Linked DNA regions of Saccharomyces cerevisiae S288C. The gene in region 1 interacts genetically with each later gene. Each region holds a gene or a part of one and is shown on either strand. Other genes may lie near its edges.

Region 1 (3,416 bases):
AATTGGTCAATGTAGTTGTCTAAACCACCTATATCGTCAAAATTTACATTCATGTCTACGCCTAATGGATCGAGGTCTGCAATTTCTGGTTTTTTCTTCTTCTTTTTTTGCGTGTTCTCTTTCTTTGTTTTCGGTGTCACGCCAAGAGGTAATATCTCATCATCGGAAGAGTCTGAATCCAGTATTAATTTATTGTTGTTATTATCACTGAATGCAGATGGGACTTGGTTGTAAAAATTAGTATTCTTACCAAATATTGTAGTTACGTCATTGCCACCAAAAGGTCCACCAGTGGGAAAAAGCCTTCTTGTGGGACCAGAATTTTGACTAGCATTCCAACCACCGCGACCACGCCGTGCAGGTGATGGGTTATGAAAAGAAAGTGCATTGTTATTCTTATCTATAAATTCTTCTGCGTTGCTAGCAGTTAGTGGTGGTGGTAATTTGTAATTTACCGGCTTAGTTCTTTCGCGAAGAAATCTTTTTTCCCTGATAGGACTATCTTCCTGTAACTCTCTAATTTCATCAGCTAAAGTTAACGCTTCATTCCTGCTATTATCATTCTCATCGTCATTTTCTTCATTTGAAGTACGCGAATGTCTTGTCCTACTTCTTAAAGCTCTTCTTACCGGTGGTGGAGTTTCTGGGTGACGTGACGATCTTGTTCTTCGAGAATTTGCCCTTTTCAAACGTTTAGAAGAAGCCGAATGGCTTATTCTGTCTCCTTCTTCGTCATCCTCATCGTATTCTTCATCGTCATCAGGGTCTGGTACTACAAATTTCCTATCGGCCGCTCTGCGCCGACGGTTGTTATCCTTCGAGTCTTCATCCAAATACTCATCTTCAAATTCGTCTGCTTCTTCCTCCTCTTCATCATCGTCGACATCTTCCTCATGAAAACTTTCGTCATCTTCTTCTGGATCATGCGCTTTTCTTTTTCTCAAGTTCCTTTCATTAGTAAGCTCTTCGTTCGTTCTGGCGTTTTCGTGCGGTGATACAAGATCAACATCATCGTCTTCATCATCGCCTTTCTGGTTGTTGTTATGATGTTCATCACTAGTAACATCAACGGGCGTCTCATCTTTGTCCATGACCTGGTCATCTTCCAAAAAATCAAACACTTTCTCAATTTCTGCGTAGTTTATTTTTCTCAAAGAGCGAGTTGTTGTATGGATTATGCCATTTTCGTCTTTAATCTGTGTTTCATACCCAACCTTTGCGTTGCTTGCATCTTCAACGTCGCTACCGCGTCTATTCCTTAAATTTCGTGCCATGTTCTTTCTGCACCAATTGTGAATAAATAGCGAGAAGAGAGAAATAGACCGTGGTAACTTCTTTTTATGACTGTCGAAAACAACAATGGGTTAGTAAGGAGTACGCAAGATCCTTCAGACGTTTTGCTTTATTTAAGACCCTACGCAGTTCCTTTTCTGCTCCTTTTCGTCCCAATATTGCTCTTTCGCTACCACTTTGTCCTTTTTCGCACACATGGCCGTACAAAATAACAGACGGTACGTTTTTAGTGATAATAAACAAGTTTATAGAGGCAGAAAAAAATTCCTCAGCGGCTAATGCCTCAACAAGTTCAGCTGCAAACGATGAAAAGACGCACACAAAAGCGAATAGAAATAACCGATCACCACAGTTCCTCTTTAAAACATCTCAAACTCAGCATTAACTTTCAAATCAATCCAGTGAAAGTATGCTTGGTTTGACACTTCACTGCCATTTCCTCCTGCCTGCCTATCTGATGCTTTGCCACCACAAGAGTGTTTTCCCTATGGCTTAATCGCTTTTTTCCATTTATTTTTCTCTTTCCCCCTTTTAATAGAGGGAAGAGAGCAGAACATACAAACATATCATTTTCTACGGTATAGCCTCCGCCTCCATCTTTAATAGTGACACTTCCATCAAGGGAATAAAGAGGCTTCAAGTCAAGAACTAAGCAGTCCCAAAAAATACCCATAAAACGAGTATAAACCATACTGTTATGTCTAAAGACACGCATGATGATGAACTGCCGAGCTACGAGGACGTAATCAAGGAAGAGGAGAGATTGCAATCTCAACCGCCACGACCACCAAGACCAGCAGCTAACTTGGCGCAAGGGCACCAATCAAGACCCCACCAAAGGCCCTCGACAATGCCAGCAACGTCCTCATCCCAAACATATGCTCACTCACACTCTTATACGCCTACAAGTTCCCAACCACGGCCTCCACCGAGGCCACAACAGAATCCTAGCTTGCCCTGGACATACCCTCCCAGGTTTTACTGTTCCAAGTGTGGAAATACGGGTTACAAGTTGAAGAATGGACGATCTTGCAAGTCGTGTTGGAGGAGGTTTGCACCTCAAAATAACGTTGTTTCTGCACCGACATATTACACAAACTATACAATGCCCGTGTACACCAACGCATGGCAGGGTAATAGGCCCTTGTACGTTCAACCAGGGGATCCTCGCCTGGGTGGCGTGCTATGTGGTGAATGCAGAGGGTCCGGACGCACCAGATTCCTGTTGGACGAAGATATATGTCCTCTTTGTCATGGTGTAGGCAGAATTATCACCCAGCCTCAACGCTATTAGCGCATGAAAATTTAGGATTTGGATGACCCGGTACGGCCTTAGTAGAAAAGCTGTGTCGCTCACCGAAAAGAAAAAAGACCGAACAACTGTAGGATGAAAAGCATATTTTAATGCTCCTAATTTTCAAACATGTCTATTACATACTTATCACATAATCCGACTGATTTGCCCTTCTTTAACTTCTTTCATTTATTTTTACGGTGCCAACCGTCTGATCGATATAGCATCCGTTCATAAAATATTATACGACTCCATCCTCAATCGTGATTGTGCGTGCGTGACTCATTTTTTGTTAGAACCAATACTTTCAATCATCCCAAAATGCATAACATCCAATTAGTGCAAGAGATAGAAAGACATGAAACCCCGTTAAACATTAGACCTACCTCTCCATACACTTTAAACCCTCCTGTCGAGAGAGATGGGTTTTCTTGGCCAAGTGTGGGTACAAGACAACGTGCAGAGGAAACTGAAGAGGAGGAAAAGGAACGAATTCAACGCATTTCAGGCGCTATCAAGACAATTTTGACCGAACTGGGTGAAGATGTCAACAGAGAAGGTCTACTAGATACTCCACAAAGATACGCTAAAGCCATGCTTTATTTCACTAAAGGTTACCAAACGAACATTATGGACGATGTCATTAAGAATGCTGTCTTTGAAGAAGATCATGATGAAATGGTTATTGTTCGTGATATTGAAATTTACTCGTTATGTGAACATCATTTGGTGCCATTTTTCGGCAAGGTTCATATCGGGTATATACCAAATAAAAAAGTCATCGGGTTAAGTAAGTTGGCCAGATTGGCAGAAATGTATGCGAGAAGGC
Region 2 (3,878 bases), on another chromosome or scaffold:
CAAGAGTTTGGAGAGAGCAGTGGAAGAGTTACAAACTAAGAACTCCCAACAAACAGATGTAATAGAACTAGCGAATAAAAATAGAAGCGAATTTGAGGAAGCTACTTTGAAATATGAGGCTCAAATCTCTGACTTAGAAAAGTACATTTCTCAACAAGAGCTTGAGATGAAAAAATCCATTAGAGATAATTCTTCTTACCGCGACAAAGTGCAGGAAATGGCCCAAGAAATTGAATTCTGGAAAAGCCGTTATGAATCTACCATGATAGGCTCGAAAAATATTGATAGTAACAATGCACAGAGTAAAATTTTCAGTTAACGAACTTTTTTTTAAAAATTTGGAAGACTTTATATCCTTTATTTAAAAAAATAATGATGAGATGTTTTGTATATACAGAATGAGAATATGCATTATTAACAGAAAAAGACGACACGAGCGTTATATACTAAGTGGCATGAACTCTTTCACCCCGTATCCTTCGATAGTAGTCTTAAAGGTGGTACATAAAATAAAGAAAATAACCGATTCAATAGATAAGCAGCGGAAATAAAGTCTTTTTCCTATCTTGAAATCTCCAAAATAAAAGTAATAAAGTACTGCTAAAGTTGTTCAAAACCAACCCTTCTTCTTGGGACTATCGTTTTTGGAGGAGGAGCTGTTACCCAATCCATATGCCTTCAGTACATTTTCCACATCTCCAAAGGATCCTCTGTCTCCTTGCATTACAACAGTAGCTCTACCCTTACCATTGCCAGCATTATTTACATTTCCCGTAAATATCATTTCGGCAACACGTGAGATATCATCTGGCTTCAAATCTTCGATCTTACTTATCATTTCGTTGACTGGGATTTTGCGACCATGCATGAGAACTTGTCTGCCCATATCTTCCAATTCTACCAGTTTAGACTCTAGGTTCATTAGTAGTGAAGACTTCAACTGATTCTTGGCCCTGGAGACTTCGTCTTCAGTTAACCTCAAATCCTTATTAGCAAATGTATTATACATTTGCTGTGCAATTACCTCAACCGCTTGAGGAGCTGCCTGCGGTATACAAGATAATGAAATACCGAAAATACCAGAATCCGAATAAGAATGGTTGAACGCAACACAATTTTCAACAAAGTAATACTGGTTCAAAACGTGGGTATACAAACGAGAATACATCCCCTTTCCTGGCCCACCAGCACTGAAAGAACCACCACCTCCAAGTAAAGTTTGTAATGTTGCTAAAGCATAAATGTCTGGATGATCTATAGGGAGACCTTCAAATCCGATCTGGATGTGGAATAATTCTGGTAAATTCCCAAACACTGGTGCTGGTGGAATACAACTTTCCCCGCCCGTATATTGGGCAACTTTTTTGGTGATCGGAGGGTGTGTAGATTGCCAGTCACCGAGATACTTTTCTGTAAGCTCTAATGCCTTTTCGTGAGGAACACCAACAAATGCCGCAACAGTATTTTCTGGGGTGTAGAATTTATTTCTGTAGTCCAATAAGTAGTATTTAGAAATAGAAGGAATGAGCTCTCTAGGGCAGATTAAAGGGGACCCCAAAGTTTCTCCGGAGTATGCTGCTGTGTGCAACAGCTCAGGTAATACCAATTCTGGCTTCATCCAAACTTCATCGATTTCATACTCTGCCGACAGCTTCTGTTCTTGCAGTTCTTGCTCAGTAATCTTAGGGAACCTCACAGTTTCTGACATTAATTGAAGCATTTTACCCACATCCTGGTTGAACACAGAAGCCTGATACATCAAATTTTCTCTAGACGAGGTACACTGGTAATTCCCACCCAGTAACTCCAACGTCTCTGCCATTGCTCGGCCCTCGACGTGTTCGGTTGATTTGAATGCTAGTCTATCCAAGATATGTGTACAACCCTTCAAATTCCTACCTTCAAACCGTGATCCTGCGTCGATGTATAGGCCTAAGGCACTAAAGTGTCCAGGAGTATTTGATGTCGCCACTTTCAGTCCATTCGCTAGTGACGAAAGCTTAAAATTATCGGTTCTAGCGATGTTAGAGTACAACCTCTGAACGCCGTTCCTTAGCATCTTTTGTTATTAATCAGCTCTCTGCTTTGCATTAATTTGACCACCTGCCCTGAAACACCTTTCTTCTAGTCCACCTGTGTAGGCTTTTTCACCTGAATTGTTCATTCTCGATACGCCCTCACGCCGGATGAAAAATTTGTGCAAGAGTCATCATCTCGAAAAGATATGGTGATAAAAACAAGTGTACTTCTAACCTGCCTAATGGTTATAACAGTAGCATAAAGTAGATATACGGACTACAGAAAATGGTTCGTGCCTTCAAAATTAAAGTTCCAGCTTCTTCCGCCAATATCGGCCCTGGTTATGATGTTCTTGGTGTCGGTCTTTCTCTATTCTTGGAGTTAGATGTCACCATCGACTCCAGCCAAGCTCAGGAAACAAACGACGATCCCAACAACTGCAAGCTGTCTTACACTAAAGAAAGTGAAGGCTATTCTACGGTCCCATTGCGTTCTGATGCTAACCTGATTACCAGGACTGCGTTATATGTGTTGCGTTGCAACAATATTAGAAACTTCCCCTCCGGAACCAAAGTTCACGTCTCCAACCCAATCCCACTTGGCCGTGGATTGGGTTCCTCTGGTGCAGCAGTTGTGGCAGGTGTTATTTTAGGTAACGAAGTGGCCCAATTGGGTTTCTCTAAGCAACGTATGTTGGACTACTGTTTGATGATTGAACGTCATCCAGACAACATAACCGCTGCTATGATGGGAGGCTTTTGCGGTTCATTCCTAAGGGACTTGACCCCACAAGAGGTGGAAAGACGTGAGATTCCATTGGCTGAGGTGCTTCCAGAACCTTCTGGTGGTGAAGATACCGGTCTGGTTCCCCCATTACCTCCCACCGATATCGGTAGACATGTCAAATACCAATGGAACCCCGCCATTAAATGTATTGCGATCATCCCACAGTTCGAGTTGTCCACCGCCGACTCCAGAGGCGTTCTTCCAAAAGCCTACCCAACCCAGGACTTGGTTTTCAATCTACAAAGATTGGCCGTCTTGACCACAGCTTTGACCATGGACCCACCTAATGCCGACTTAATCTACCCTGCTATGCAAGATCGTGTCCACCAACCTTATAGAAAGACATTGATCCCAGGTCTCACGGAAATCTTATCATGTGTCACCCCATCCACATACCCTGGCCTATTGGGTATCTGCTTGTCAGGTGCAGGCCCAACTATCTTGGCTTTGGCCACTGAGAATTTCGAAGAAATCTCTCAAGAAATTATCAACAGGTTCGCCAAAAACGGCATCAAGTGCTCCTGGAAACTACTGGAGCCTGCCTACGATGGTGCTAGCGTCGAACAGCAATGAAATGTCCTTTACCCCTAGTATACTGTGTTAAATACTATTGTAGACCATATACATACTGTAATTGACCGTTAACGGTTATTATGCTGAGTCTTCTTCCGTTACCCGTCTTTTCTATCTATTTCGAAAATAAAAAATAAGTGAAAAGAACGAAATTTCACAACCATTAACAATACAGATAATGAATCGAAGTTGTTTTCAGTCTCAATTCAAAAGACTCATAGCCAAGGCCAGTTGATTGATTTAGCCACAAGTATCATTCAACGTAATATCCACAGGTGTTTTTTTTCTCACCGGAAGGCGAATAAAATACAGGAGCTAGAGCGTGTAAGATAATGAACAAGGAATCTAAAGATGATGATATGTCCTTGGGGAAGTTTTCCTTCTCCCACTTCCTATATTACTTGGTGCTAATAGTAGTAATAGTGTACGGTTTGTACAAGCTTTTCACTGGACATGGATCCGACATTAATTTCGGGAAGTTCTTGTTAAGGACATCCCCT

Evidence for each region.
Region 2: of HUA1 (region 1) and THR1, extra expression of one rescues a mutant of the other (dosage rescue), as found in Saccharomyces cerevisiae (one study listed by BioGRID).

The regions. Positions count from the first base shown.
Region 1 is NC_001139.9:1,025,228-1,028,643, reverse strand, and holds HUA1 (Hua1p), read left to right. Parts: upstream 1-1,990; coding exon 1,991-2,587; downstream 2,588-3,416. Other genes in the region: chromatin segregase YTA7, read right to left, coding at 1-1,274; FOL2 (GTP cyclohydrolase I), read left to right, coding at 2,909-3,416. UniProt on the Saccharomyces cerevisiae protein: May be involved in assembly and disassembly of the actin cytoskeleton.
Region 2 is NC_001140.6:157,134-161,011, forward strand, and holds THR1 (homoserine kinase), read left to right. Parts: upstream 1-2,304; coding exon 2,305-3,378; downstream 3,379-3,878. Other genes in the region: MYO1 (myosin 1), read left to right, coding at 1-319; MAS2 (mitochondrial-processing protease subunit alpha), read right to left, coding at 611-2,059; VMA16 (H(+)-transporting V0 sector ATPase subunit c''), read left to right, coding at 3,711-3,878. UniProt on the Saccharomyces cerevisiae protein: Commits homoserine to the threonine biosynthesis pathway by catalyzing its O-phosphorylation.